Lepisosteus oculatus: one gene and its partner. The protein of the gene in region 1 interacts with the protein of each later gene in a pairwise test. Links are inferred from orthologs where the notes say so. Each region holds a gene or a part of one and is shown on either strand. Other genes may lie near its edges.

The links.
Region 2: the proteins of fez1 (region 1) and pam16 interact in a two-hybrid assay, tested with the Homo sapiens proteins (2 studies listed by BioGRID and IntAct). The link is inferred for Lepisosteus oculatus from reciprocal best matches to the Homo sapiens genes FEZ1 and PAM16.

What each region holds. Positions count from the first base shown.
Region 1 is NC_090718.1:7,803,446-7,820,494, reverse strand, and holds the start of fez1 (fasciculation and elongation protein zeta-1), read left to right. Parts: upstream 1-8,118; 5' UTR 8,119-8,462; intron 8,463-10,853; 5' UTR 10,854-10,920; intron 10,921-12,065; 5' UTR 12,066-12,107; coding exon 12,108-12,409; intron 12,410-15,616; coding exon 15,617-15,716; intron 15,717-17,049. Other genes in the region: acad8 (isobutyryl-CoA dehydrogenase, mitochondrial), read left to right, coding at 150-252, 909-964. UniProt on the Homo sapiens protein: May be involved in axonal outgrowth as component of the network of molecules that regulate cellular morphology and axon guidance machinery.
Region 2 is NC_090714.1:3,926,625-3,942,752, reverse strand, and holds pam16 (mitochondrial import inner membrane translocase subunit tim16), read right to left. Parts: upstream 8,699-16,128; 5' UTR 8,607-8,698; coding exon 8,604-8,606; intron 7,883-8,603; coding exon 7,798-7,882; intron 7,230-7,797; coding exon 7,093-7,229; intron 6,637-7,092; coding exon 6,571-6,636; intron 6,029-6,570; coding exon 5,933-6,028; 3' UTR 5,846-5,932; downstream 1-5,845. Other genes in the region: coro7 (coronin-7), read right to left, coding at 10,703-10,711, 10,887-10,973, 11,262-11,353, 12,239-12,374, 13,255-13,371, 13,750-13,839, 15,153-15,294, 16,114-16,128. UniProt on the Homo sapiens protein: Regulates ATP-dependent protein translocation into the mitochondrial matrix. Inhibits DNAJC19 stimulation of HSPA9/Mortalin ATPase activity.

The DNA of each region.
Region 1 (17,049 bases):
ATAACTATCATTTTTTTTATTCGAAATCTGCTTGTCCGCACAGAAGAAAGAACAGAAAGATCAGTGGTCAGTGAGTCACCCATCGCTGTTTGTAGGTTTTACCCTGCTGGTTTAGGATCTTGCCTTTTCTCTTTCCCATCTCCACGCAGATTTGTAATCAAGCACTACAGATGCACGGAGGCTATGGCTACCTCAAGGATTATGCGGTGCAGCAGTTCGTCCGGGACATTAGAGTGCATCAGATATTAGAAGGTGCGTGAATGCAATGTGTTTGAACTGGTGTAACTGGTGTAAGCCAGAGCAGGCTTCCAGTGTGTTTAATGTGAATAACCACTTCCCTTTTGGGCGGATGTTATAATGCCTTCCTGCCTTTGGTTTTGCTTCACTGCCTTTCTAATCTTCAAGGGAACAGTTTAAATCAAGAGAAAGACTATGATGAGCAATTTTATGAAAAATGACTGCATGCAAAACCAATGATTGCTATGTGATCTTGATTTTGATCTTGATCTTGATCTTGCAGAACTTTGGACGAGACCAATTTAACTTTAGGAGAATAATATGTCTGAAAATGACATAAAGCAAAACAGAAAATTTTGGATCCCTTATTAATCCAAGAGCTTTTACGTTCTTCAAAAGGTCTATTGCGCATATCCAAATTTATCAACTGCTTACAGCACAACATTCTTTTTAAACTGCTCCTTAAGAACTTACTTTTAACCTGCTCATTTTCTTCTACTACATGTTCCAATGGTGCCAAACAATCTTTGTCTAATATTACTGTTCCTGCATCCATTTCGCTAATATGAAGAAAGCAGTGCAATAGTTGTTCATCAGGCCTGATCAGTCTGCTTTGGGTCCATGTTAAAGGATCAATTTTCTGATCCCCAACGGTTCTTTTTTTCTTTTAGGCACCAATGAAGTGATGCGTATGATTGTTTCAAGGAATCTGTTGATGGACCAATAAACCTCTGTAGCTTGAGGACACTCCCAAGGTCAAATCCAGCATGTCACCTTCAGAACTGAAAAAATGGGCACCATCTTTCATAATGCAACCTCATGCCCTCTCCTGGGTTGTGATACGTTTGTTTATGAAAGAAATTGGTATTTTGTTTTGATAGATACCTCACCATCTAAGGGTCTCTGTCTTCTTCTGCAAACAGTTTTTATCATTTAATATTTAAACAAAGCGGTTTTAGTTTTGTGTATTTCAGGTCAATACCCGACTTTATCTCAATATCTCTAATGCAGCAGATCATGAATGACAAGCAGTTTGTTTTTGTTTTCTTCATGTATTAATTGTGGGACAAATTTACAAGGTATTGCATTAGAAGGAAAAAAACAGCTTGCTATTTTGAAGGGAGCTTAACTCATTGTAGGCTAAATCATTTTAAAATATCCATGCAGCCTGAAGATAATGTTTTAAAGTTAACGCTCTCAAAAATCGCTCATGACCTTTGTGACAAAATTACTTATCTCCAGTAGACTCTTCAGGTTGTTAGAACACTTGCTCTGTCCATGATAACGGTGAAGTATTTCCATTTGACAGACATACTGTACAAAGTGCTTCCTGTAAAGTAACAAGTTGTGATATAAGAATGGTTTCACACTAAAATAAAATTTCTGATTTCAATCAACATCTCTGTTTTTAATGTCTAGGAATTTGCAGGAAGGTTTTCCTCTTCACTTAAAAGGCTTGCGGGAGTTTGAAACAACCTACCCTGCTGTGCTGTTTAGGCCTCTATCCTGGCTTTTATCAAGACACAGTAATGAAGCTACCTGCAAGCATACTAGTTTTAAAGAGTTTCTTCTCATTTCTAACTTTATGTTCTTGTGTTACTATGGCTACCACTACAGTATGTGCCTTCTCAACCGACATGTCTGGGGCAGGAGTCACCAGCCTGTAAATAAAAGGCCATGTTTGGTAAGACAAATATATTGTCACACAATATATTTCATCTGTAGTATCCCATTCATTGGTAACGACTCTCTTCAGTGGGCAAAAATAACATGTAACACACCATTGACACACTAACACGAGGAGGAGAATACTTGTTAAATGACATTTAAATTAACTTCACCCCTCTGCTTTTCTTAGTACCACCATCTTGGTCTCCTCTGTATATTGTAATTGTGTTTTTATCTTGTGTATTCTTTTTATTTTTTGTTGTTGTCATCCTGTAAAGCGCTTTGAGAATCCACCTTTAAAGGCGCTTTATAAAATAAAGTTTATTATTATTTTTATTTCCGTGGCTCCAGATTCCTACTGCAAGCCGCTGTTTCACATTTAAAATGATCTGATTCTGACCCGGTTGTCTTTTAAAAAAGTGCTCTTGAACAACAACAATAACAAAAAAACAACCTTGATGATACAAAACACATTGATTAAAAAAACAGACATACTGGTTGAAGTACATGATGAAGAAATGCATAAGGCTGCATGTAATGATTATTGGTATTGATCTGCCAGTAATTGGTTTTGTCCGAGATCCTTTATCACTTGGAGCGAAGAGAGGCTTCATACCACATTGATTATAGCAGCAGGGAAGAGTTGTAAATGTTGTGTGTGGCTCTTTAGCATGGAAAGAGCAATTGAAAACAAATGTTCACTCTGCCTGGATTCAAACCTGAATTTAAGTCAAATCAAATAAGCAGGTCTTGGAACACACCAGGGGGGAGGGTGGCAATTTACAAGCTCTGGAGCAGCGATTTTCTACAGTGCAACGGCAGTCGTTCATCAAGTGAAAAAGCCATTTAATTGAACAGCCTAAAAGAAGAAAATGGTAAATTTTGCCATTTAAACATAACACTTATCCCCCCCCCCCCACAAAACCCATCTCTTTCGGTGACGGAAACTTGAGAGGATGACGGAGAACCAAGATGCGGCTGCTTCCTTTTTTCCATTGAGCCTCTTCCTTTGCTAATTACCACGGCAACCGCTTCACGTGCAGCATTCACCAGTGCAGGCCACGTTGCCACAGCAACGAGGTCTCTCCAGCACTTCGAGTGTTCTCTGTGGTGGGTGGTGAGTGCTTACGTGTGTGTGTGAGGGGAGTGGGCTTATTAAGATAAATCAGGTCATTCATCTGTGAAGGAAGTGTGATTTACATCAGAGTCTGAAAGGTCAGGCTCTGCCGAATGCTCTCTCAATCACTTTCTGAAACAGGCTCTCCATATTCTATATGACATGCTCCAATTCCGAAATCTAATGAAATCCAGTTGTTATTCAAAAGAAGTGTTAAGACCATATTTATTATTTTAATATATCTTAACAGAAATGATTACAGTGGCCCACTGAAACAAACACCTTGATGTCAACCTTTGAATATCCAGGGAAATTGATTCTTGCTTCGTAAGCTGCATGAATAATTGATACCGGTATCCACACACATTATGAAGGTATGTTATTGTGATTAAAGGGCCATTTAGTAATCAAATCTAAATCTGTGAATCCCACTAAAACCAACAGCCAAGACACAGCGGGGGTCTCGTTTCGTCATTTTCAAAACATCGCCTTTACCTGGAAATTAAATAATTAAATATCTACACATCCTGGTTTAGTCTATTTGTTTAGAGGTAAGCTCACAATCAGTCTTTCGTTTTGAAAAAGATGACATCACACCTCACTCCTCTCTCTCTCTGCAGGTGAACTGAAAGCCTCTGAAGAGATGAAGTCATTTCTGGCTGTGAGCTCGTAGCCCAGTCCCTCCCTTCCAGCTCATCAGCCTGTTTCTCTGTCCTTCCTCTCGTTCCTCCTGGCTCCTGGCTTCCCCATGTTCCCAATGCAAACCAAGGTGCGGAGATGAATATTTCTCCCAAAACATACCAAACAAAACCAGCTGCAGGCTTGTGCTTGTGCTTTTACAGCATGAGGCCAAAGGCCAAAACAGGGCAGCACCTGGAGAAAGACACTGATATCCAGAGGTCTGTAATAGCTCAGCAAACCCAATTTACATTTTTAAGCTCTATGTTTGCTGTCCAACTGCATATTTTTCTTAAAGCTCCAGTGCCTCCCCTCTGATGTCAGCGGAGTCAAATCAAACAATTTTTTTAATGCAGTTTGCGCTGTACTGTTTACACTGCTGGATTAATAAGCACTCAGACTATCCTCATACAATAGGCAAGTGCATTTATATCCACCTAAGGGCAGTCCATTAATATACAGACATCCAGCTCTAATCAAAACAGCAATGGGTGACCGTAATTGCAGAGGTAGTTGTGATGAGGTCCTGTGTAGTTGATCAGTACATGCTCACAGCAATAATACAAGACGCATTGGGTGGGTTACATTTTCTCTTTTCATATAATTGGATAATTGTTCCTATCCAGTACATGCAAAACATATTGAATTCATTACAATATTTTACGCATTTCGTGCCTTCAGGTCAAATTGAATTGCATGCCTTAGTGTGTGCTCAGCTATCAGCATCAGAATACAGATGTAGACCTAAGACCAGCTGTGTGCCATACATTAACATAATTTGTCTTCCCTGAGACGTCAAAAATCTCAGTGTAAATACTCAGACAAATGTTCATTTGAATTCATATACAGTAATATTAGATGATTTTCAGCATTTCCCTTTCTGTATACAGGGAATACTTTATACACGTACATGTATATGTTTATCTCTGCATACTTAAATGTGTCCTTGCATTCACCCTGTTCCAGAATACTGAGGAGCAGGAAGATCTGTGTACAATATTTCAGTTCTAGGACACACTGAAGCCAGTGAAACAATTTCTTTCAGTTCAGAATTCATGAAATCGATGGTATGATGGGTGTGTAGTGCAACCAAGTTCTTAAGTTAACATAAAACAAGGTCTTCACCTTTACACACATCAGCTCAACATCTATCATCATAGAACGGGTGTTTTATGGTGGAAAATAAATCTACCTTTCAGCCTAGGTCAAAAATCCATGAATAATGTATGAATCGAAATAAGAAAAACAAGTGCTTGTTTGCTGTTCTCAATGTTACTGAGATACAACAAAGGCATAAAACCACTCCTTATTAGTGGTAAAACTGCAAGTGGAGCTACAGTCACCGAATGTCAGAGGTAAGGATAGTCTGTGATTGCACTAAAATATGCACAATTAAGAGAACACACTGTGCCATGAATCGACATACCTCACCAATAACTCAGATTACTTTAAAAACTAAAAAATTAACAGCCGATGGCTTTACTTAAAGCCCACTAATCAACTGAGTCATATGTGTTACGATGGTTCTCATATTTCTACTTTAATAGGACTTTAGATATATAATATAGTATTTTATCTAGAGAGTTACACATTTATCATGTGGCTTTTTAAATACCATTCATCCACTCATTTTCTAGCCACTCAATCCAATTACACAAGGCAGGGCACACCCTGGATGGGACGCCTGTCCATCACAGGGCACACACAGACACGCACACTCACACCAGGACCACAGTTCCCAGAAGCCAAATAATCTGCCACCATGTCTTTTGACTATAGAAGGAAACCCATGCAAACACAGGGAGAACATACAAACTCCACACAGACAGCAACCCCGGTCCAGAATTGAACCCAGGGCCCCAGTGCTGTTAGGCTGTAATGCTAACCATTGTGCTACTTTAAAAAGAGGGTGACATAGTACCTCACGATATACAATATACAATATATTTTCACCACCATGTCAAAGATTAAGTCTAGTGAAGGATTAAGCAAATCCTTCCGATCAGATGAGATCTAAATGTAAAAATAATCATTACATTTGCTAGGTTAGGGCATCTTCAGCCCATTTGCATTCATGCCACAACATGATAGGTGTGTGCTTTCTTGCCGATTTGAAAGTTTGCACAAGGGCTGAAAAGGATGAAGGGCATCCATTCATTTCTTAACATTTAGAATATCAATATCTTTTGTCTGTTTTTACATGTCACTTTGTATAACACTGGATTTCTAATCTCATTTCATCTCGGCATTGTGGCACAGCTGACTTGATTAGGGCTGACATGATCTCTGGGTGATTAGCAGTGCTGCCTTAGAGCTTTTGGTCCGGGGTTTGACAGCAGCTAGGGGCACCATCTGTATGAACCTCTCCTAGGTTCATCCTACCTACCAAATACATGCCAGCTATGATAACTGGTGTTTCTGAATTGCCCCCATGTTCCTGCAATGCACTGACATTCCATCCAGTTCAGTTCAGTGTATTGTCATGTGCACGAGTGCAATGAAATGCTTATTTGCATGTGTGCTCCAATACAAAGACATTAAAAGGAATCGCCAAAATAACAAACACAGAACAGCAGCAAAAGAAGCAACAACAAGTTAAATAACCCACAACTTAAAAACAAAACCTCAGTGTGAGCCAGTGGTAGGGGTAGAGTCCAGTAATCTGACAGCTTGTGGGAAGAAACCGGTCTCTGAGTCTGGAAGTTTGTGCCTTTATGCTCCTATAACGCTGACCATAGGGAAGGGGGGAGAAAAGTGAGAAACCAGGATGACTGTGTTTAAAGATTCTCGATCCAATGTCCACAAGCCCACAACACGAGACAGACAAAGACGTACAGACGAGGAGCAACATGCAACATGAAGACCGGTCCATTCTTGAACCTCATATTTCTAGCCTAGGTTCCACATTGCCTCAACAAGCACCAGAAATAAGTACTTTTTTGTGGGTGGTTTGAGTAGTTGGCTACACCAAAGATGCTATTGCACGATCACCAATGCTGTCGCCCAACAATCTGAACCAGAAAATGCATGTTAAAAGGAGAAAGAGAATGTAGTGTGCAGCTCATGCTATTCACATGACCGATCTGCCAATGACATTTCATTTTTTTAAGAGCTGGCTAAATCGATAGCCACTGAGAAGTGCTCTACTGGTATGCTTTTCCATTTCCAGCTTTTTTCACTTTCCAGCTGGATTGCCCGACTCCAAAGGTTTTTTGAACAAGTTTTTTTTTGGGGCAGAGTTTACCTAGCTGTCATGGGGCCAAAAGACAAGTAAACAAAGTAATGGACACAGCTGATCAAAAGTGGTTCCTGATGATGTTCTTCATTGATTGAAACATTCAACAGTAATGGGCCATTCCTAGGGAAATTATTGAGGTAGACTCCATTGGAAAGAACCACTGCATAATTACAGGAAATGAAAGGAAGAAAGGAAAGAGGAGATGGAAAGAGGAAAGAAGAGGAAGGGAGAACAAAGATCATGTCTCACCATTATCATCATCTCCAAAGATATGGCAGGGAGAGACCCTTTTTCTAAACACACCAGGAACCAGATTCTGAATAAGTAACCTGAGCATTTGTATAAGAGGACTTGCAACCTTATGTACGCCTGTATTGTGGAATCCTTAAGCTAAAAACATTTTTTCCCATTTTTGTGAAAACAGGGAAATTGGTTTCCCATTCATTTATTTTACGGAAGGCAATTGTATATGGTTCCTGGGTAGGATTAATTTTTCTTAAGATAGAGCTTCTCTCTATTTGGCCTGTTAGGGATGGAATTCTAGATGTCTGTGGGGTGTGGAGTGTATTGTGCAGTTGTTCAAGTTATTGTTTAAAAATATTCATTTTTGTTCAGCTAAAAAGAACAAACATGCCACAGAAAGCTCGAGTTATTTACTACCCACTGTTTTGTTACAGTATCTTATTGCTGAGCTGTTCTTCACTCGAACTGTGGACGGAGTCCCTTTCTGAAACCACTTCTAAATGATGTGGATGTGTTTATCAGCTTGTCTTGACGTTCAGCTATAGTGCTTATAAAGTGTTAGACAGTGAGTCAGTCCGTCAACCGTTTATTTTTAAAACTGGTCCATTGTGCTCAGCGGGGTGCCATCTGTATTTTCTGCTGTGGTTCAGTGGTTCCGTCTTGCAAACGCAAATGACCTCTACAGATGCATTCCAGAGAATTAAACAAAGGGGAAGACATTATGCCACACAGCCGTTCAATTCCAATTCCAGCTAGGAAGGTTAACGATGCTGCTCAGAACCGTTTCAAGGCCTGGCTCACTGTACAGCTACTGTACCAAGCGGCCTCACATCCGCAGCTCACTGAGTTCATGAATATTGAAAGCCCTGAGTGGTAGTGATTGGAGGGGGAGGATGCTGATCTTCTGCGTCGCCGTGGTGATGCTTCCATTGCTCCACAGCGGAGACGTCTGCTATAGGGCTGCTGTGGAGGCTGGCTGCCCACTGATTCAAAAACACCATCCTCTGCCTCTCAGGCTCAGGAGAGAGGGAGGTTTACGCTGAGAAGGGGGGCCACGGCACATTGAGGAAAGAGAACAGAAGGGGAAAAAGGAGAGAAAAAAAAGGAACACGTCGTTCCCATTGTCTTTCCTTCATTCCTGCACTGAGAGGGGGGGATGCCTTTGACTGCCTCTGCTTCGCTGGAGCTGAGATGTACAGACGCGGGCAGCGCAGCTGAGATCTGCATTGCTTAGGAGGGGCTCTTCCCCCGGCGAGAGAACGGAAAACACATCCATCGCAGGTACCGTATCCCTTCTCTCCATTCCCCTCTCTGTGCCTCCATTGTTTTTCATCCCCTCCATCCCTGCCGGTTCACTTCTGACAGCTACACAGCTCCCCTCCTTTCCTCCCTGCACTTGCAATATCCACCCGCTTATTTACCTTCTGTTTATACATACTGTTTTTGTGGCTAAAATGATTTGACCTGGGAATATTCCGAATTTAGGTGGATGTTTTGAAAGTCCTTTCATTTGTCTGTAGCGATATTTCCAAATGTCTCTCAGTAGCTTGTTAAACACTGATGTGAGTGTTCTGTGAGATTTGCTGATGACATATTGGGCTGAAAGCCTGCTTGTGGTCCATATTTAGAAAGGATGGATACGCGTGAAAGTGCTGATTGTGATGACAGCACTAATGTAGATCACGGGTAAGCTTAAAATGCACTAAACTGAACACAGATTTATATTAGTTCTGTATTCAGGGCCACAAACATGGACATGACTGTGGTATTTACTACTAATAAATATCAGATAATGTAATAATCTGATTAAACTAAAATTAAACTGTTGTGATTGTTGTTCATTTTTAATTAAATGACCACGATATAAATATTGATAGAATTGGAGGCATTTGTCTGTTCTTTGATGTATTTTGTCTTCATTTAAAACGGGGGCAGTTATTCCTTAACCATTTCCCTGCATGCTCCCCATTCTGGGCTGGTCTCGGCGCTGAGGGGGAGACCGAGCAGGGAGTAGAGGGTTAGAAGGTGATGATGAAACACACAACAGGCCCAGGTGAAGGTTAAATGGTTTTCCCTGGAATGCCAGCACACCCCAGATCCCAGATTTGCATGTCTCTGCCGAGATTAACAAAAGGAGGTGGATTTGTTTTCTTCGTCTGGCTCTGGCACCACGAATACCGTCTCCTTCATCTGATCCTTTTTAACGGCACCTCGTCAGAAGGCTTCACACATCCCTCTTGTCCTCCATGCTCGACAGCAGTGGTTCGCTTTCACGGCACAAAAACTTTTTTGTTGTCCTCATTGATATGAAACCCATTTTTTTGCACTTTCTCAGCGAACGAAAAATAGCTTGTTAAAACCACTGCAATGCAAGATTGCTTCACGAAGGACATACAGAATTTTCTTTCCCTAGCCAATTACAGTAAAATAGTCCTCGCTATTTGGAAAGATATTTTTTCCATAGTCCCTGACTAATTTAGAGCCTCATGATTTGCTCTGAGGAATGCTCTTCCGTTTAATAGCCTTGTCAGATCCATTTGGCCTGAAATCTGCCTCAATGAGAGGGAGAAAGAGACACAGATTTCATTTCATGTCAATAATGAGTACTTATTTTGTAAGATACTCTCACAAAATCTTCAGAAAGGATTTTCCTTATTTTATTTTTTTCCCCCTTCAGAGCCTGAGAGGCAATCTATAGGAGTTAACAAATTTAAATGTAACGGGGCAAACTTGTTATTACTTTATTGTTTAACCATTATTAAGGCTGTCATTGAAACAACCTCTTGGAACATCTATTGAATAGTATGAGGAGTTGTTTAAGCAATTCGAGTTCATATGGTTAAAATAAACAAGTCCTGGAATATTCCATCTGCTGTTATTTTTCTATCAGTCCTTTTGTGCTCTGTTGATGTTCAAATGAAAATTGTGGGGTTCAAAACCAGCATTGGAAAACTGCATATTGCTAAACTTAACAACATATAAAGGTAGTAGACAAGTCAGCAACTTTAGGCTCTCAGTCTCTCCAGGAATATGACCTCTACAGACCTCATAAAATCCAGCACTCTGTACCTCACTGTGTAAAATAGCTTTACAACATCAAGTAATGGGTTTCATCCCTTGATTTATGGCCAAGTAAGGCTGTTTTCCAGGCTTCTCAGTACATACAGTAGCAATGATTTTCTCATTAAAGTAACATTAATAATATAAAGAAATCCAAAAACACATTTTTTTATTTTTTAGTTCATTTACTCTGTATTCCACAATGTGTATACGAACTTTGTCAGGTCATGGATCTGTTGTATAATCTCACGATCTCTCTGGCTTCTCCTGGCCATACATTTAAATTGTGAAATACCTCCTTTGTTTTTTTTATTTTCCTTCAATCTGATTTATATATTGTTACTTCAGCACTTCAGAGTAGACGTCAGTGATGTGCATTTGACAGAACAAAAGCCCCTACTTTGAATTGTGTTGTATTGTATCTGCAAAGCTGTGAGTACTGTTACATGTGAAGGAACAACATTCCCTCCAGGGACTACTCTGCATCTGGCATTGAACAAAAAGTAAGCAGTAGGCATCCTTTCTAAAGATCTTGGCATCAAAATGCATGGTATCCCTACAGCTGGTGAATTGTACAGGACAGAAGTCTGACTATTGACAAATATCTTACAGGAATCATAATCAAACAGACCATCAGATTCCCCAACACAAAGAGTGAAGATAGCAGGATATTGAAAAGGTAACAAAAAATCCAGACATTGGGGAGAACTGTGTTTTAGGATAAGGACAATTGAAGTTTTGTTTTAATTGTGCTCGTTAAAACACTCTGTTAGGTTTTAAGTTTTAAGTTACTACAGACCTTCAAATGTTGCCTTTTGCTCTTGGGTAAAAATGTACCAGGTACCTTTTCACAATACACAGAATAGGTAAAAAACAGCTGAAAGCAAATGGACTCCAGAAGGAAAAACACCGGTGAACGTATTTGGGAAAGGAAGACCAGATGAGAATACTTTTGATTCTGTAAAAGGTCTTCAAGAATTAAGCATACACACTTACTGATAATGTGAAAATAATTACAGTCCTCATCAGTTCGCTTGCCAAGTACTCATATGATTACCATGTGGACCAACAAAAGAGCTTGTAATATCTCATTAGGGGAGATCAGATTCATCATTACATTATGTGGCTACATTTCTGATTCCCTCAATTATCTTAGAACTTTTTTAATGAGTTCCTTGGTATTAACAATAGGCTGGATCCCTGGAGCAGAGACATTGACAGGACTGTCTCATTCCTATTTTCACATTATTGCTAAAAATATATCTGTATGAATGAGTGATTACACCGATAGACTAAAATATGTGGAAGTGCTTTAGTTCTTGCTTGATCAGCAATTTATCTCCAGGACACCTCTCTCCAGTATGATACTCTAATGCTTTATTTTCCTAGCAGAAAAAGAATTACGCTTCTGAAACAAGTTTTACATACCTTATGAGCACGATTAAAACCTAAAAACCGGGGGATGTAAGAAGTCTTGCTGCATAAGATCGATGAGGTAAAAACAGGGTGATAACGAAGGTGACAGATTTTGGCTCCCAGCGGGCCAGTGGAGGAAAAAATTAAATGGAAAGCTTGCTGTAAGTGGGCGTTCCACACAAACTTTTCTCATTTTGTACTCCCTTGTACTCTAATGAGCACACCATAGGATGGTGGGATGAGAACAGGGACTGTAGGAGGGTTTTAAAGATATCTATGAGCAAACCAGTTAAATAAAATGCTTTTGGGACAAAATCATCTTTAAGAGTTTATTAAGGTTCCAGCACAAGCTTGGAATTCTTGAGCTTTCTCTCATATATACACCACAAATGTCTCCCCCCCCCATAGGCGTGTGTGTACGGGATCTGCCCAGCCAGGGAGTCAGGAAAGATGGAAGCCCCCTTGGTGTGCCTCGATGAAGACTTTGAGGACCTGAGACCCTGCCAGGTGGAGAAGAGGAGCCAGCTCCCCCCGCGCCCCGCCGGGACCGCCCCCCTGGCGCGGGAGGAGTTCTCCGAGCTGGAGAACTTCTCCGAGATGATGAGCTTCAAGTCCATGGAGGACCTGGTGAACGAGTTCGATGAGAAGCTCAACGTTTGCTTCCGCAACTACAACACCAAGACCGAGGGCCTGGCCCCCGTGCGCAGCCAGACGCACATCGAGGAGGAGGAGGAGCTGCTCCAGGACGAGGAGTGAGTGTCGAACTCATACGGGGGGGGTGCAGGGGTATCCAGCTTAAGAGCTTGACTGAACCAGGACACCGTGTACGAAACGATCTGGGGTGCTTATTTGGACTCTTCCGGGTTTTTTATCCAGACGGTGTGGGAAAGCGGTAAAGAAAGCAAGTGGGATGCTTGGGTGTGTAGCAGAAAGTGGGGAGTACAAATCAAGGAAAAGGGTGCTCAAGCTCTGCGATACTTCAGTAAGAGCTTGTTTGGGATACTGTGCTGGATTTGTGTCACGAAACGACATAAAGGCGATCGTAGCCTTTGAAAACATTGAAAAGGGATCAAGAATGGCTCCCAGTCTCACACTGTAGGTTAAAGGCACTTAATCTCTTCGGTTCACACGCTCCCTGTGCGTGGAGTTTGCATGTTCTCCCCCAGTCACATTGGTTTATCTCTAGGTGCCTCGGTTTCCTTCCGCCAATGAATCAAGTCGGCATGGTTTCTGTAAGGAGTCTCTCAATTGTCCTCGTGTGTCCGTGCGTGTAAGCCGTGGTAGACTCCGACCTCGGCCATCTTGATCCCTGTTCCACCATGATAGGTTCTGGGTTATGGTCAGCCTTGCCAGCGGTAAGCGGCTTACTGGTAATGGTCGGGTGGATTAATAAAATAGTAGCAACATCAGAATACGGTGAAGAACACACTAAATACTTGCCTCGTCAACATGGAGTTATGCACCAGTTTTCAAGACCTTGAGCCACCAGAGCAACATAAAAGTGTAAAAAATCTGTGCACAGTAATTTTCTGAGATTTTCTTCGAATTCAGTTCTCTGTGTTTCAGTTCTCTCCCTCTCTCATCCCTGGCTGTGTCCTGCTGATTATACAGTAAGCCACCACTTCAGCAAAGGTGAAAAAGTCCTGAGTCAAATTTCTTATCATCTAATAATAGCTCTTTGTGTTAAAAATAACACTGCTGTAGTGGCTTGAGGGTATTGTAATTCTAATCAATGCATATCCCTTTTGAAGCAGGTCAAACATGGCCTCAGTATTGATGACATTCCAAACCTTATTTATATGTGGAATTCATAAGCCAAAACCACAGGGTGTCTAAACAGATCCTGGACTACAGTTTATTTTCTGGCTGAACTGCCAGTTCAAGGGAGGAAACATTAAAATACAAAACATACAAGCACAACCTGTTAATCCGTCTGATTTGTGCTTTAATTCAGGGTGTGAGCGATTAGCTTGATATCATGTGGAAAAATGCTGGCTGAGTTACTCTGAGACTGAGTGTTAAAGATCGCTCAATTTGACTAATTGACCAGCATGAAAAAATTAACTGGAATCTGAGAATTTATGGTACAGGTAGAAAAATCCTAAGGATTGATGATTTGTGCCTACAGTTCTATGCCTTGTCCAGTCCAGTTTTCCCATGTCTAAAGGGTAGAAACCACCTTTGAGTCCTCTTGCCACCCACACTAGTTTTAAGCTAGCACCATAACCCTCTCACAGCACATGGGCTATAGTCTTCAATCTGCACCTAGTTTTCACTTTTTACAATCCGAGCCCATGTGTTTGTAGCAGAGCCTTCACAGCCCATCGAAAGGTGAAGGTTTTTAAGAAAAAAAAACAAACCTCCTTGAAGGAGCAGATTGAAGGAGGATTTGGTTTACAGAACGTTAGGTTCCCATTTCACAAAGACCACCCCGCACTGGGAGTCAGCCTGGCTTTTAGAGCTTTAGACTAACTTCTCAACTTTGTCTCGGCCTGAAATGTTTTGATGGGGAGTGAGCGCTCTTCCATCTCCTTTCTGTCCTGCGTTCTGCTCTTCAGACTCTTGGGTCTGTCAGATGGTAAGCGAGCACACTGATGGAAAGCGATGGTACGAGCGAGCGCCAGTCATCTGAGAGAAGAAGAGGGAGAGAGCGCTCACAAACAAGAGAGGCTAACAGTTGAGAAAGTGCTAAAGAACAGACAGTTGTTCTCTTTAGTGCTTGGCAGTGCCACTAAATGGGATGGGACTGGAAAAACAAAAGGTTTTTCTCCCTCTCTCTGTCCATATTCAAGTATGGATCTCACTGAGAGAGGCATGCAGCTTTCAGAACAAGGGCAACAGAGTACTTAAAGACGCATCAAGTGAAGATGGGGGCGTACACAACTTCATTGAGGTAGATCTGTATTTTACAGAGAAGCTAGTTTTAACAGTGACTGACTATATTGTGTTTTTTTTCCTCAGATGTATGTGTATCAATATTTTATGGAACACTTTGTTATAAATAATGGGCGTTCTACTGTACATGGTGTTGTGTCCTTTCCCAAACTGAGGTATAACTGTACTTTACAGAATAATTTGTTTTAATAATTTTGACTTGAGTTCCAGAGTGTTTTGATCCACCTTTACAATATGTTCAGAACGCTTTTTTTCTGAACACTTTTTGTACATCGCTTACTTTTACTCTTAGTTTTGTGAACTAAGAATTAAAATGAGAAAATATGCTGCTGTTCTTTACCGGTATATTTTCTGACTAGCAGTAATGTTTTGTGTATACTTAAAAAATTATAAAAAAACCCAGTTCAATATCAAATATTGCCCGTTTTCTTTCCAGGTGCATGAATTATTTCTCTGCCAGTTTGATAAAACCTGATATCGTATCACTGGAATTTAAATAGAGAATTTTAGGACATAAATAGTTGCATTTTTTACTAACCAAATACAATGTATAAAGGATGGATGTCTACTTAAAATGGCATTGAAATGGCAAAAATAGACTACTGGAACCTATAGCACCGGTTGCATTTTAATGCCTTTCAATGTATAAAGATTGTTTTTTTTAACAAAATAGCCGACTTTGTTATTCATTTCATCATCTAGCTGCCTTTTTCGATATGATGCCATGCCAAAAGCAGAATCCCAGCTTGGCTGCAGTGAGGGGAGTGGTTAGCACACATCACAGCCGAAGCGTTCACGCCGAGGACTCAGGCCAGCCTCTCTCTGCCTTTCCTGTTCAAGACTTCCGGCTGATTTGGCAAGGAAGCCAGGCAACCCACTGCGCCTTACAAGGGCAGCCCCTGCTGCAAGAGCTGCGTGCATTTTGTTCCTCTCTGTTGCGCAACAGTCCCACAGGGCTCAAGGATGTGTCTGGGGGGGGGGGATTCGCACACAAGAAACCAGCTCAAAGTCGCTGCAGAAAACCTAAATTCTTCTCTTATGTCTTCTGCTCGCCGTGTGTGCAGGGTCTGGGATGCTCTGACTGACAACTACGCGTCTTCTACGAGCTCCAGCTGGGACGACCAGAATACAGAGGGGCTCAACGGCAATCTCTCTGACCAGGAGGTACGCTCTCTCTTCGGTGACAGTCACAGCCCTCTGTCGCTTTTAGGAAACGAAACCTGGAGGCACAGGGTCAAACTGGGTTCTTCTTGGTGTTAGCATCCTCGGGAATTTATTGACCAAATGCTAGAATCCAGAGAGTCATACACAACCTCATTTTGAGCAATAAAAGCGCACTGAGTAGAGAGAGACAATGAAGCTAATTTGACAAAATAACCAATTGAACCTGCACAAGGTACTGAAAGAGTGATGAACTGTCACAGAGAAACTAAGCAAAAGGCGAACATTGTGACTTAAAAGTACTGGTTAGGGGACCAAGGAAAAACAGAGTCAGATGATGTTGATGGGTCTAATAGCCTCTTCCCAGCTGTAGTCACTCTGATAATTGACCCATACTGGGTGTAGAACAATATTTTACTCGCTGCTTTACAAAAACTCCAGCGTACTGAGTTGTACACTTAACGTGTAGAAAGTACATCATCGAGTACATCATTGAGTTGCCGATTAAAGGCAACAGTAAAACAAGTAAGTCTTTAAATGTGATTTAGAAAGATCCACTTTTGCAGTCTCTGAAGAATCTGAGCACTGAATTCACAACCTAGGGAAATCTTTGAGCTTTGAGCCAGGTACAGTATAGTTAAGATGAGAGATCCTACATCTGAATAAACAGTATCAGACTGTGTGTTGAACTATACTTCCTTACAGGTCCTTTATATAATTTAGAGTTTGACCATTCAATGTCTTGTATGGAAGCAAGAGCACCTTAGAATCAATTCTACATTTCAGAGAGAGCCAGTACACTGAGACAAAAATGTTTCAAAAAGAAATCAAGCTACAGGATTCTGAACATACTTTGTAGTTGAATACTGTCCAAGGTATCACTTTGGAAGCAAGACGATTTAGTTATTGGCTTCTTTCTGCTCTCCAGACTACAGTGTAGCTGGAGATTAATGAATCTGAAACCACATCCATCCCGAACGCTCCTGCTCTCTCAGGCTGCATTATAGTTATTGAACAGAACTGCTCTCAGGCCAGGACACTGCAAGACAGAGAATGAGGGGCCCAGGAGTCTGTACACAAGCCGTGTTTGTGCGTGAAGTCAGCAGCTTTCTCAAGCCCTGGGCTCTCAGTGGAGTGTCAGGAAGGGAAGACTCAGTCTGAGAGGCACCAGGCAGGATGAATGAAGGAAGAGCACCCATCAGGCTCAATCACGTTTCCATTGATTCAGGCACATTTCAGGCTTCTGGGAAGCAGGCCCTGGCACTTAAAAGGAAAGGAGCATAACAGGAAAGACATTGCCAGTTCTTCATTGCATTTCAAACCAAGAGACTATGTA
Region 2 (16,128 bases), on another chromosome or scaffold:
AAAAGTTAAGACTTCAGAACTTCAAGTGAATCGTTTCTGCAAGTCCGATGTCTTGTTAACTTGATCCTTTTTCTTTTGCCTTCAGTTCTGCGGCTTCTGATTCTCTGCGCTCCGATGATCTCCTTTCCAATCCACTCCAGCAACTCGTCGTGCGTTGGCAGGTTCTTCTCGACAATGTGTGCTGCTTTTTGTTACATTTGATTTTTGTTACCAGTGGCTTGATCTGTAATGTCCCGATTCAGTGCTGTATTTTATTCTTGACCTGCATGTTTTCTGTTGACTGCTGCTATTGTATGTGCTGTGAATTCTGCAATAAAAACTCTCATTTCATTGTCTGCATTGTCCTGTATCTTCGAAGGTGCGAAGGGTTGTCTTGCGCGTGCGCCACGCACCGCAAGGCGACAACCCATCGCACTGACCTGGAAAAGTGCGAGGACGCCCGCCTTTTTAGATAGTCTGGGGGGGAATAGGGTCCCTAGGAGGGAGCGTGGGTCTAGCCCTGGGGGGAGGAGAAGGGAAGATAGCTCTAGCCAAGCCCCCTCACTCCCAGCAGGAGGGGAAGGCAGGCTGGAGATGGCCTCGGCCCGAGAGAGAGGAGGCACCCAGGGCGGACTCAGCCCATCAGTCACAGTTGCAACTGACAGCTTTCTAAGTCCACACCCCAGGAGACCTGCCTCTCTGCAGGGACCAAAGCCACCACCAACCTGCCATCCTCTCCTGCCGGGAGCGAGTGGGCCTGGCTAGAGCTGCGGTCAATCAGCCAGCCCCCGCCTACCCCTCTCCAATGAGGGGGGTGGGCGAGGCTCGGCTTGATTGCTACCAGACCCCGAGAGAAACCCCAGATACTAAGTTTTTTGGCGGGAAAATCTGGACACGCTTAAAAAGGGGGTAGCCTTTGACCTTTTCAAGTCAAAAAGCGATAGGGCGTCCCCTTGCGGCCACAAACTGTAAGCAAAATCTCTCCGCCAAAAAACTCACCAACACCGGGGTTTTTCAGGGCCAAGGGGGTACAGAACTCTGCACAAGAAATCAAAGAACAAAACCAAGGTTCAATCAACAATTTATTGAGCGAAAATGGCATACAAAACAAAGCATTACAATACGTCAGTTGCAAAAGCTTCGATGTGAAAATTAACAAGCATTTCAATTACAAAGTGTCAAAGCACGGCTACATTAAGGCTTAATGCTTTTACAAGTCAACGAAAACTTTTGCATGCAACTGCAAGGAAAAACACAGAAACACACATCACGTTACTGTTTCTCCGAGGCTTCTGTCGAGGCAGCGGCCGGAATGAAGACTAACTTCGTTGCATTTTCTGCAAAACAAAAATCAGTATTAACTTTGTAACAAACAGAATCTTTCAATTAAGTCGAAATAAATAGATCCAGCTTTTGTTTTTGCTGATATGTTCAGCAGATAAAACAATTTAAAAAGACTCACAGTTGGGATAAAGCGCTTAGCGTGGTGTAACAAAAAATGTACCAGTTCATTTTGAAGTAGTTTCATTTAAAGGTTAATTTAAAGTCTCAATACTAAATACGCAATACAGCTACAGTGTATCGATTAAAGACTCGCAGATTCTAATGTGCTTTTTTTACGATTTATGAGCAAATTGTTTTCTAAAACAACTTAGTTAACACATAATTAATCCATTTCTTGATAGTTTTCGTTGTTTTAATTGTTCTGATGTAATCTGGAAGCTAAAAATTTGAAACCAAAAAAGAGATATATTAGCAATTTTAACAGAAAATTATTTCTTTAAACAGCAGCCCTGTGTTGTCGGGTCAAAACCATTTCTGCCCCGGAGAAATCTAGTATCGCCTAGTTTGAAGTTTTTTGAGTTTGAGAAGGTACATCATGTTTTCCAACAACAATGTCCGCTTTATAAATAAAAACATTTATACTTACATCGATAATTCCAGCAGCTGAGCCAAGCTCGTCCTGCCCGAAGACACCAAACTGGAAACACAAGACATAATTATTTAGACGATTATTTAAAGATTTAAACCAAAGTTTCTGTAGCAGTCGGCGTTTTCACCAGGGTAGATAGCGCAGAAAATATTTCCAAGAGATACGTGTAACGAAATGAATAAAGCGTTTATACTTATATAAGTGCATGTCCTGCCCGAAGACACTAAACAGAAAACACAAAAAAGCAGAATTTAGAATGTAAGACCATTGAAACCAATAAGTATTCTTTGCAAGCGAATTTTTTACCACGAATATAAGAGCACAAACACACAAAATGCTCTGGAAAATAATAATAAAAAACTTTACAAATCCAGGTAAGCTATTTCGGTTTGGATAAATGCACACGCTTGATTTTGTGAACAAAGACTTAGAAATGTTATTTAGCTCCCAACGAAAATACGTGTTTTACCCCCCTTTCCCCTGCGTGGTGTAGACAACATAATTACACGAGTTAATTTTTATCTACATTAAAATGAAGGAAAAATGAAAAATAATCATAAAAGACGCGTAACAAACTCACTCAGCTCCGCTCTCTCCAGCAGAACCTGGCGCACAGGTGCGCGGGGCGTGGCCTGCGAGAGATGTCATTCGAGTGGGCGTGGCTACAGACTGACGGTGCAGGTAGCTATTTTTCTTGGCTCCACGTGAAAACTTATTAAAGATATCGAGCCTGTTTACAGAAGCCCCCATGAATTACAAATTCAAAATCATTTTTCCCATGGCCATCTGAGTAAATCACAGTTAGTGCATTTAATCCTTATTAGTCTTTGAGAGCCACAGGAATGTGAATGAAAGAATTTAGCAATATGTAGGTGAGCTGTGGGGTCTGAAGTTCTTTGCAGGACGCTTACTGTTCTATAACCTGATCTATCTGTGCTGTACTTGCTTTACTTAGAGACCAAAGTAGGGAGATCTCATTGAATTAACAGAGTACAGGAGAAGAGGAAAGAGGATGAACATAAGCAAATGCTCATGACATATCAGTCCCTCATCCTTGAGTGTCAGTGAAACGGGTGGAGAGCATAGTCTCTCAGCTGAAGCTGGCTGTAGGGGATTTGAGTTTCTCCTTTGTGATACATCGACTGAGAACACCATTCCAATCATAGCAGGCATTGACAAGTGCTCTGACATAGAAAGAGAAATATTAAGGGTTAGATATCACAAATCTGTAGATGTATAAGTATATATAAGCTATAATCAAGTCATTATCTTTCTCATTATCTTTGTTAATCTGTTTAAGTAGATTGAGCTGTTCTGAAAGGTTTAGAAAGAACACACATCTAATACTGTCCAAGAAAAAGGTATTAAAACTATGTCATAGTGTCCCTAGAAGGCTTCTGTAAGAATCTTGCATTTTGGCTCAAGCCCAGGCTGTGGTGTTTCTTTGAGCCAAAATGGCTTCTGAGCAGACAGGGATCAGGAAGCAGGTGTGCAATATTGAGTTAGACACACCTGGCCACTCCACATGAGGATTTTAGGGCTTTTGGGATAGGTTCCTACAGAATTAGCCAAGCCCCTGTAATTAATGAAGAGGCTTATAAAAGCTAAGCCTGGAGGACAACATTTAGAGGGGGATTTGAACTGAAAAGGAACTTAATTGTTATTTATTGGGAGTTGTATTGTTAATATTTTTTGTGGCTCTAAAATACTGGCATTGGTTTTGTGAGAAGAGCAAGATGTCACTGGCTTTGAAAACTCAACCAGAACACTGTTAGTGAAGCCAGCTGATCATCTTTTAGACTTGGAAGTGCAGTGAGTGATGCTGTCCAGTAGGGAGAGCTACATGTACAGAGATGTGCAAAAAGAATGTGTACCAGCTCATGGGTAAACTATAATGGGGTGAATTGAGGTTGTGGATTAAATTTACCATTGCTGAATATACAGGTAGATGTTCAGGGTAGGGTCTTGCATGTGAAAACAACCTGAGCTTTTCCATAGCTTAATGTCTTGATTTCTTTCCAGGATGTGCTATAGGTAAGGGTTAGCTAGCTGCTCTTTTGTACTTCCTCTGAAGGCAGTATAGCCTTAAGTACAGACCTGAAACCCCCTGCAAAACTGAGGCTTCAGGGGTGTGTACAATGCCTTCCATTAAACAATCTTTTGTCTTGGCAGCACACTGTTGCAGGAAAGATGGTATTCCACAAGAATCCCATTCCGAGGGACTAGGTTTGCAGGCTCTCGATGAAAGCTATATACCAGAAAGAGCCCAGTGTGTTCCTGTCTTGGATCCAGAAACCCAGCTTGACCCTGCTGCACAGCCAGTGAGGAGAGATCCCTACACTGAGATCCCAGGTAGGACATGGCTGAACTTGTTTCAGCTTTTGAAATGAGTGAAGATTAAAGATACCCTGGATAAATGCATCAGTCTAACTACCTAGTCCCTTTGTATTAAAGTGAACTTCCCTATGGCAGTATCCTCAAGTCTGGTGTGGAGGTCCTTCAATGATGGCTCATGACCTGGGTAAGACGAGGAGCTCATGTGCTCCAAGCCTGTGGAGTCCAGAGTGTGACTAGCCTGGGTAGGAATGTTGTTCAGTGTGTGTGTGTGGTGTTGGGACTTGGTCATGTCACCTGTCCTTTCCCCCCTGCTGAAAAAGAGCCCTGTTGATCAGATAGGAACAGACTAGCAGCTGAAGCTTTATAACGGGAATGGGACTTCATCTGCCACTCCAATGTGCAGCAAAGCTATTTGGTGTGTATGGTGATCCTCTGACCTGTCATGACCTTGACCCTGATCTTGTAATGGCTGTATCATGTCTGTGCAATAAAGTGGAGGTTTCACTGGAAGTCTTTGTATGCTGCCATTACTTTCTTTAAACTATTACTTGGACATCAGACACTGGTCCCACAACACCAATGCTTTAGTGCTGTGAAGATCAGTGGGAGGACAGTAATTGATAACTATGCTTTCAGTGGCATTTTTTTTTTGTTGTTGAAATTTTAAAACACTGCCATCTGCAGGAAAACTTGCTACAGTATCTTAATGTGTCAAGGGGGAGGTTGGGGATACTAGTTACGTCTTAATAGACATCTTGCACCTTGGACTAACCAAGGATTCCATTATGTAGTTCTCACACCTGTAGTACACAGATTAAATAGCCTGAGACTGTGTCCTACAGTTGCAACTATTGACAGGACCAAGGGACAACAGGCTTGGCAGTGTTGCTGTCCACAGCAACCCAGGTACTAAACTGGATTTTCTGGGTGAATTACCACCTCGGCTGTGGTTGCTGACTGCAACTGCGGAAGGCCAATTTCCTTTATCAGAGGTACAGAGACACTAAACCCACATGTTCAATTTGTGTATGCAACCTGCCCCAACTGCTAAAGAGCCTTGAGCTGTTATAGTGATGGGAATTGTGTCCGCCACAGTGTGTACATAGTTCATAATTCCAACAGTCTAGAACTCAGTGTTACTATGTTCACTGAAGCAGGAAACATTCATATTGACTAAATATGATGAGCAGAGAGGAACTTAATGTTTTTGTTTACTGCTATGAAAAGCAAAACCAACTGCTGCAAGTTAAGGGGCAAACAAAATTGCAGATATTAACCTCTAAACTTTAATCTAGTGCTTTGAATTTTCAGGGTACTGACAGAAGTTCCTGTAGATGGTCTGGCACTTACCTGAAAAGGAAGGTGCTATATCCTTTACAATAAAAGCAGCACCAAAGCTACTTTCAACAGCACAAATGAGCACAAGCCAAGGAGGTGAGTTTCATCCTGTGTGCTGCTTGTGAGGGGACAACTTCATGCTGCTGGGAGGAGCAGATCATTTTAATATTCCTCTCCCTCTCCCCAACACACCAGTGAATGCATTGCATGCAGATGACATAACCCAGCTATACCAACAAAGTGCACCCACACCACCTGTCCATACAGAAAAGGGACTTTATTACAGAGGACTTAATTTACAGGGGATGGTGGAGGAGGAAGGGGGCCGTGAAGGGTTCTCCGGGCTCAGGTCTGGTCTTGCTGCTGAGAACTGTGCTCTTTCCTCTTGTTCTGCTGCTGGATGGACAGCTCTTCGTCCAGCCGCTCCTTGGCTCGCGCCACCTGTGGACACAGACGCAGCAGCCCCGTTCATGGCCCCTGCTTCACTGAGAGTTTCAACGCAGGTCAAAAAAATAACATGAAAAAGACCACGACACTCCAGTATCACCACAGCAGATAATGCTGTACGAGATGCAACACCAAGCTCAAAATGCACTAGTTGTTAGTTTGGCCTTGTGCAGAGAGGTTTGATATCTCTTGCTCAAAGATACCCGCATCTACAGAATTTGAGAGTGACAGCACTCTCCATTTTGCAAGACCCTGTACAGTACTTGAAACGCATACTGTAGATGACTCGTACATTCCCTTGTGATCAAGCAGTTTACCCGAGACCATGAACTGCTTGTGTTGAGACAAAGACACAAAATTGGTTCTGAGATTCTCCTGCATAAGCTATTTCTCTTTAAAACTGACTGAGATGGACAACCCAGTTCCCCAAGAATCTAGACCCAAGCTTCTGTGAGCTGGACGGGACAACTACGGGGCCCAAATGTGTGAACATAAAGGAGACAGAACAAGGCATCCACAAAATACTGAAAAATCACCTTTGACTGCAGATAGAAGGACCCTCCAACTGCCTTGTCATTCACTTTAAACAGGTGCTCATAGTTCTGAGGGGAAAATGGGGAAAAAACATTAAGTTGAAGTTGAGCATGTCAGAAACGATAAGATTCTCATGAATCTTTCCTAGAAAAAAGATAATTGTCATTTGTAAATGATACAGATAACAGCAAGGAGCCTGCACCCTTGGTCCTGGCATGAGCAATGATACAGCCCGGGTGGGATGTTAGTTCATCAGGGCGGTGTTGGCGAGATTTGTTGCATTGGCGTGGTTACAATTTGCCGCTAAATAATTTCCCTTAGGGGATAATAAATCTTGAATCTCTTTGAAACCGTTCCCGGAGGCTTAAATTCCACCTCTTAACCTAATGGAGCTGATCGTGTGCTCAACAGGACCAGTTTGTCCCGTCTCAAGGTTTTCAGCAGTTGGCGATTTCAAGTGACCTAGCAGACCGACTGGCCTCGGAGGCCTGGAGGTGTGCGGGAAGGTGGGAGAGGGGGCACACCTTCTGGATCTCCTCCGGGGAGAGCTTGGAGATGTTGAGGATCTGCTGGGCTTCCTGTAGCGTCATGCCGGTGATGCTGGAGGCTGCGGCCGACTGCTGGCCTGCACTTCCCCGGGCCTCTGCCGCTGCCCTGCTAGCTACGCAGAGACACAGGCGGAGCTCGGGTTAGTACGTGAGGGGAGAGGGGGGGAGACTCTTCAACTAGGACAAGCGATCAAGCGATCAGGCCAGACACTGTTCGAATTTCACATCTGTTTAATTTTTAAAAAAGGCATCTATCTCCCAACATGACACCCTGTATTTGGAACCCAGGAATACATGCATCATTTTCACCGCGTCACTAAGTTACGCACCCAAATTAGAAAGGGCAAAGGGAAGAACTGAGGAGATGTCGAGTTATGCAGCGAAATAACTTTCACCTCTGCAGGTTTCACTTTTTCATGGCCCGGCGACGGGCTCCATGCTGCAAAAACACCAGCTCTTCTCTCACAGACGAGCTCCGTTATAGAAGCACGTTACAACGTGAGAAAGCAAAGTGCAACTACAGTAAAAGATATAGAGCCGAGTGTCTACATGATGGAACATGACACACGGTAAAATATGCAATAGAACGGGCCTGGGGGAGATACTGTAGACTGCCATAATGCTGAACAGGTTTATAAGGGGTGTCTCCGTTTCTGCCGAAGGGTCTGATTAGGGACTCACCAGCGAATTCCTGTCGCAGTGCCCGGGCAAAGGCTCTCCCCACCACCTGTGCTCCCATCACGATGATCTGAGCCAAGTACCTGGCCTGCAGGACAAGACAGAGAAGGTTGAAAGTGAGAAGCCATTCATCCCCTTTTTTTCAGCTTGGCTGCTACCAGCTTGTCCACTTAGGAGTCTGACAAAGCCTTTTCTTCCCAGGATAGCAGGGAGTTTGTTGTTCCTACAGAGCGGTAGGCATCTCCAGACCTCCTGTGATGCATTGGTTTCTGGTGCATACACAGGCAAAACGATAGCAGGAACACTAGTGTTTGTCTGCAGTTGTCTGCCTGTGCTACGGAACATTTCTGTAGACATTTTTAGGACATCCATAAATTCCAGATAACCGGGGTCAACAGGTGTTCTGTAATGCAGAACATTCACAAACACACGTCATCCCACACATATTACTATATATTATATATATTAACTATATTATAATCGTTTTTTTAAATCCTTTTAAAAATGTACAAAATCTGTCCTTGGTAGTACAAGGTCAATGGACATTAAGCAGACAGTACTGAGATATCGTCCTCAGAATGACAAGCAGTGGGTTTTATAATACTCAAAGGCCCCTTCGAGAACAACAACAACAAAAAATATATATATATAATCTTACTTAACTGCTATGCGGCAGTCTAGTTTCGTATAGCATCAGGTCAGAAATGTTGAGCTACCTCACGTGTAACACTGCAGCTTATTAGCTAATGATCCCCTCCGCTTTATCACTTCTCTGTAACAGCTATAAACCATTAAAAGCATTTACTCACCATAACATATACTTAAATCTACAGTGTAGTTCCTACTCCTCTGTCACATGTACCACCAGTCCAGAAATCATTCAAGGTCACCCGGGGTTCAGAGGTTAAGGGGCAGCAAGATACAACAAAGATGAGAAGAGAAGTAAAATGATAAAGCAGCTCAAAGCTGGAGAACACTGCCGACTAGTGGCTGGTGGTTATAACTACAGTCGTTTCTGAAGGACTAGGAGAATAAACACGTTGAGCGTGTTTTCAGTAATATTTTGAGACAATTGGACCCCAATTTGTAACGACAGCTAAAAATTGATTAAGTTAATTTTCTGTTTTTCAGACTAAAGTAGTAGGTACCCGTATAAACTATGCTGAAGGTGTCTCCTTATTCTTAAAATTGTTCTTTTTGCTTTCAAACTGTATCTTGACAATTGATCAGACAACAGATTTTGTTATCTTCAGGGCACCTGTTTTTATAGTGTCAACCACAATCGCCATCTGGTAAACGTGAAAAGTTTTCTCTAAAACGCTGTTAATGTTTTGGAAAAAAAAACAACAAATTAATCCCCATTCTCGTCATTCAAAAGAAAGCCAAACACCCACTAACACAAATTGAGATATCTAAAAGGGAAACTAAGATGCCTTCCATTCATTTTCAAATACTGTACATCGATGAGAACCATATATATACAGTTATTGCTACAGCAGCATTGGTAAGCCCAAATTCCAGAACTCACTTCAAATATTGCCGAGCATATTTCAGGTGAAGGCAAAACAAAGAGAGTCCAAACACAGAGTTTTTGTTTTACAGTTTCTGTTTTATTTGTCTACAACACTACATAAAAGACATAAAAGAACAGAAAGAGAGAAGGAAAAGAGATGCATCTTGTTGATTCCGAGTATAAAAACTGCCCAGCCTGAGAAAGAAGTGGGTTGGTTTGTCCCCAGGGCCCAGTGAGATGAGATGAACTGGACAGGGCACGGCAGGGACAGCAGTCGCTCCTGGCATAGCCTCAGTAAGAGGTGTGTGTTCCCTAAATGTGTGTGTTGCATCAAATGTTTACGCCACAGCCATCAACACCTGGCTTCTCCATTTAAAGCAATACTGTGTCCAGTAGGAGTGCGGTGTATTTGAGCAAGGAAGAGGTTGAACTGCCACCCAATCTGAGCTCACCTACATCACAAAACGTACCAACTCCAGACACTGAGTATCGGCACGCGCCAGGCGGCATCCAGATTGCAAATAAAGACAAAAGCAATAATACTGGATTGTACTGGAAAGCCTCTTTATAAAACAGTACCGTGCAGCTTGAGATGTCGATGCAGAAAACGCAGAGCGAAGCACTCTGCCTCTCAGCTTCTTTAGTTGCACAGTGCATTGCGCAATTGAGTGTTTGAGGATCAGGATCATGAGATTCCCAAGGACAAATTCTCTCTTTTGTTGAGTTTCAAGGAGTGATTTGTGCCAAGAGAAAAGCATTTCCTTTCAAAACGCCTGTTGTTAAAGACGGCCAGGTGGTCAGCAGTAAATGGTCTGTAAGGAATCGCTTGACGCCCTCAGATCACTTCACTGCTTTGGAGAAGTTCAATAAAATACTTTCCTTTGGAACCGAAGAGTTGTGGGATTAGTATGTGACAAGCCATGTAGCACCTGCATCTGCTGCTATCTGGGTACAGGCTGACTAGACTGGGCTCTCTGTGTGTGATTGACTGGGTGCTGATGCCTTTCAAGTCGTACAGCAGGTCTTAAAGCTCTGAAGACAGGCAGGCAGGGTCTTACGGTAACTGTGGGGATATAGAGAGGACCCCAGCTCTGAAGACAGGCAGGCAGGATCTCACAGTAACCATAGGGATACAGAGGGGACCCCAACTCTAAAGACAAGCAGGCAGGGTCTTACAGTAACTTTGGGGATACAGAGGGGACCCCAGCTCTAAAGACAGGCAGCCAGTGACTGTTAGAGGCAGGGTGGAGGGGGACTTGTGGGAGGGGTAGAGTCCGGAATGGCAGGCCGGGTGGGGTTCAGAGGCAGGGAGATGTGTTCAGAAACGGCACGACGATTCCCAGGCAGCTTTTTATCGCTACAGGCACCCTGACTGGTCCCAAGGATCTGGTCCCTTTAGTCATCCTGAAACACAAAACACAACATCGGATTATTTTCCCCCAGGGCACCGTGAAAGGGTCCGTACAGCCCCTGTACCTACGAGAGCGCGCCTGCGGGCCGTGAGTGTGTGTCTGTGCAGTGCTTTGTTTGTCCGGTGGCGGTCAGTGGGTGCAGTGTGTGTGGCGCCTCATGGCCTCACCCACTCATCCTCTTCCACGCCCTGGTAGGAGTCCTGGGGCAGAGGGTCCTCCCGGTTCCCCAGTTTGGCCACCATGGCGCTGAGCAGCTGCAACACAGCAAGAAACAGTCAGAAACAGGACCCCGGTCACCAGTGGCCACTGCTGGGCCCAGTTCTACATTGAGAGCTGGTAACAGTGGAATAGTGATCTCTCTGTAGGGTGGGTACTGCCTCTCAAGGGTGTGTCAGAGACGCCCGTAGCTCTGTGCAGGGCCGTGTGTGAAGTGGAGAGTGTGTGTCGGAGCTCTGTGCAGGGCCGTGTGTGAAGTGGAGAGTGTGTGTCGGAGCTCTGTGCAGAGTCGTGTGCGCGATGCTGTGGAGGCCGGCTCAGTCTACCTCCTCCTTCTTCTGTTCGTCAGTCTTCTCCTCGAGGTACACTGACGAGGGCAGGTACTTCCGCACTGGTGCCTCCTTGGGGGCCTCGCTCACTACAGAGACAGACACACGAGTCCCGATGTTCAGCACAGAGCTCTGCGCGAGCCAGCTTCCAGCTCCAGCGTTCCACACCCAAAACACAATTATTAGCCACGAGCATCCAGGTTGTCCTTCCTTATCACATTATATTGATTATTCAGTCTTGCATCCTGATTACAAAATGCATCATCTTAATTAGCTAAACCCTTTATGCACATTTGACATCGATTACTTCTTAATTAAAGCTAGAAGCTGTCACGTATAACTGATCCAACAGTTTACGTCTGGGGTTGCCAATCCCAAGCCTGGAGAGCCCCATTCAAGTAAGTCTTAAAGGCCAACCTGTAAGTTACTGATGAATTAAGCATGTGCTGTACTCAATAAAGTGCACCCTGATTCTTGAGGGCTGAAGGGCTCAGATCCTTGTTCCAAATGTTCTCTGCATTACTTAACCAATACTTAATGAATGACCATTGAAATGGATCACAGTTACAGGTACTTCAAGCCATTAGAAGTGAATGATTTAATGATTTTCGATCACATTTGCTTGTCATACAGCTCTCCAGGACCAGGACAGGAGATTCCTGACTTAGTCTAATACTGAGAGACTGATCAGAAATGGGATTATTTTCCTTATTAGTTGGACATGCAGTAGCTTGATTCATGTTAGCCTATTCCATGATGTCGAGAAGACAAGAAAATCAAGCCATCATAAGCACTTTGCAAAAATGTGCTGAAAATGCATCACATTCAAGCCATCGGAAGATGCTTTTTTGCAGTTATTGACTGGTGCAAGAATGGCCCCGATTTCAATTGAGCGCAATGAAAGAGCAGGGTATCTGACATCGCTTGGCCATGGTTCTTGCTCCAGCAGTGGCGCAGTGGCCGCGCTGTCCTACCAGGAGTCATGTCCTTGGGCCGCAGGCTGATTCTGCGGTGCTGCCCGTTAGCTCCCGAAAGCCAGGCAGAGGCCGCCAGAGCCGACTCCCACCACACCGCGGTATCAGGAAAGAGGTCATCCTGGAAGAACTCTTTCTGTGGAGCGCCGAGAGAAAGACACGGATCAAATCAGCCCACTGAACTGCAATTTTCAAAATAAAGATGACAATAGGGTGAATTAAGCCGACAGAGTAGAGTACCAAGGTGGAAATAAGACTCATAATGCACAGCACTGCATTGCACAATATTTCAGGTGCTGTGGTCTGTAGGCTTTTGTATATATTTCACTGATCCATCAGAAAATGTTAAACATGCTGTATGACTTCATATCAGCCTATCCAGGATAATCAAAATTACATAAAAACCTCATTGAAGAAGCCTTTGAATAGTTATTAATAATTTTTTTAACTGCTTTATTCAATACAGGGTCACGGGGAAGCCACAATCTCTGCAAACAACGGGCACAAGACAGGGTACAATCGGCCAATTAACCTGCCTTTGGACTGTGGGAGGAAACTGCAGCACCCAGAGGAAACCTATGCAAACCCAGGGAGAACATACAGACTCCACACAGACAGTGCCCCAGGAATCAAACCCAGGGCCCCAGCGCTGTGAGACAGCAGTGCTGACTGTGTCACTGTGCCGCCCCTGTATTAATCAGGGCAATCCTCATCAATGCATCAAGCAGTTTTTTTTCTTTTCTAGGCTGCAGTTAAATCACATTATACACGCAATGTGTGTGTCATGCATCAGTTGGAGTATATTATCAAGGCTGCCTAAGCATGGACTTTTCAATTCCACTGAAATGTAAAAATATTTTTCGAATTGATTCTTCCTTACTTGAGAGATCTTCCATAGCAGGCTCTATTAGGTAACTAAGTGGCTACAGTGGTCTTACAGTGGAGGTGAATTGAAGTGCCACGACATCCTACCCCCAGTAATGTCAGTCACAATCTCGTGTACAGCGTGCGCTAACCTTGACGCGGGGCACACGGAACGCCACGGGTTCGATAGAGGTCTTGCTGAGCCGCAGCGCCCGAGCGAACTCTACGTCAGGCACGTTACACTCCGTCTTCGGCAGGAAGACGAGGCCCTGGAAACAGGAAACAGGAAGCTGGTCAGGCGACTGACGACGACAGGGCAGAACCCTACAAGACCACTACAGATTCAAGAGCTATTCCTGAATCATTGCCAGCGACTGAAGACCAGGGGAAACCACTAGATAATGATCAATTAAAAGTCCTTAGGTCTACCCACTCCTCAAAATAATATCAACAATAATAACAACAAAAACGAGAACTCCAATAAAAGTCCGCAAGTCCCACCAGTCCAAAAGCTTCCTTTTTGCAATGAAAGTCCTAAAGAGAACATGGAGGTGGTTTGGGACAAAAATGGGGGCGCATTACACTTGACAGTTTTGCCTCTACACACTTGAGTGCCAGCAGTACACAGATGAATGAAGATCGGGTACCTTATGTGGCTCGGAAGAGTTAAAATGGCTACACTCTAGGAAATAGGGGGACTCCTGCAGGATCTCATAGATGTACACACGGGTGTCGCCCTGCGGGGAGGAAAACAAACACAGCCGCATTTATTCATGAAGGCATCAAAGGGCCGGGTTGTTTATCTGTCCGTAACACGAGAGGGGCAATTACTCTGAAACAACAGCCTTTAGAAATTCCACCTCTTTCCCTGGTCAAGGTCAGAGGAAAAGAGCAGACAGGGATGCAGGATTCATTACTGAAAAGAAAGAAATTATCTTCTAGTTCCATCAGCTAGTTTCAATAGGTTTGTGGTTTATATGGGAAATAGCAGTTTGGTCTCAATGTATTTCCTAAAACATAATGTTTTCTACACATTTTACCTAAAAACATTTCAGACTCAGGTTATGCAAGACTATGTTTCTGTAAGCTGGACACCAGTCAGAACCTGAGACCTTCACTTGACACTTATTCTTGAGCCATTTGCTGTCCTATTCTACACATTGCTTAAATCACATGAACGCATTTCTAATATAATCATATGAATATACAAGTAATAGGTTTATTCCATGCTGAAAAAAGAAGAAAGAAAACACAACCTTTCGGCTGTGGAGCCTTCTTCAGGTGTGAATATACTGTACGCATATGAAAATGAAACATATTTGTTTCCTCTAGTGTTGCTGTATGTCATTTCAACATCGCACAAACCACCTTTAGAATAAATCTTCCATCTATCAGGCATGACTGCAGCAGCAAACGTTATAGGAGTTAATGAAAAATAAGTTAACTACAGAGCATCTACACAATCAATATGACGACGCCATCAGCCTGGGACGTGGAGCGTATCCTCATGTCTCTCCACGCCAGACTTTCTCCACACTATGAGCCTGTAAGTAGTTTCCACTTATCTATATGCTTCTATAAAAAAAAAAACACACTAATTGCAAGTTGTGGATTAATCTACGGAGGTTTTACATCAAGTTTCTGTAACTCAATTGTCACATAATTCTTGCACTGTCTGGATCCTTTTCGACATTGTAATGCATTAGCTTGTTCTTCACCACGTTGATGTATATTTAATAGTAATTAGTTTTTTTAGATTCAAACGGTCTGGAAGCAATTTAATATGTATTACGTAAGTGTCTGACATAATTTGGGAAAGAGCCTGAATCCTACTTATTTGTACCTGTGGGTGTGAGCCGACTGCAGGCAGGACTCGAGATCTTCTGGAAGCTGGCTCAAGCCTATAGAGAAGCAGGCTGCCGTGTGTGCGATACAAAGGGAATCTGCATCATTAGCAGAAGTGGGTCTCAGCCCAGTCCTGACTGAGCCCAGAAAAAGCACACATGACTGTATCTCTTGCACTTGCACACACTGTGGTGAAAGGGCTCACCTTGCCGGTGAGGATGACCGTGCTGGTGTCTTCGTCATAGAAGGGGATGAGGGTGGAGGGGGACACGTCGGTGCCCACGGAAGCCACCGGTCCTGAGGCCAGGGACTCCACCGCGTAGAGGTAGATCTGGCGTTCGCTTCGGCTGCCGGGCAACAGTAACCATAGCAACTGCATCAGAACCACTAACACTAAAGAGGGACACAGTGGGCCCTTCAGCGCCACAATCACGTTCTAACATTCAGAACCTGAGACCCTCACTTGACAATGATTCACATTCACATTCAAGAGACAGTTTACTGAAACAGTTTACTAAATTATTGTATTCAGTTTTGCATCCCCATACAACAATCTTCCAGCCATTGTGCACTCAGTATGCATTCTTAGCTATGCTGTAGGAGAACAGGGTTAAGAATTTCAGTGCTCTATGCTTACTATTTACATAAAGAACATCCTGCTCAGATTAGGAAAGGGAGAGCCTGAGATTTAATCTGATGTCTTGTGATTGTTGTACCTGGTCAGGCACCTACAGTATAAGAATCAGGCATGGAAAAAAGCTTTTCTAGGTCTGACCATAGATGATTGTCTGTTAGAATGAGCAGCATGGTCTTGACATTCATTTTCATTCATTTTTCGGCAATGGAGTGGCGATTTAAGACACAAAATGCCGATGCATCTCACAGAAACCGATGAGGACAGAGTAAGTGGCAGACAGTGTGGTCCAGTAAAACTAGCTGGATTTTAGAAGATCTAAACTACAGTGTGCAGGTGGTGGGAGAGGGGCTATGTTAGTAGCCCAAGCAGTTCCTTCAGGAGCTCTGGACCACCTGTACATGGGGTTTGTGAAAGATGCTGGGGGCTGATCTGAGGCTGGAACTGAGGCAGGACATTTTATATAATCGCCTAAGCTGTACAGCCGAAGGGGGTCGCATCTGGTGCCGAGCTCAAAAACAGGTGTCCCTACCTGTCAAATCCAGAC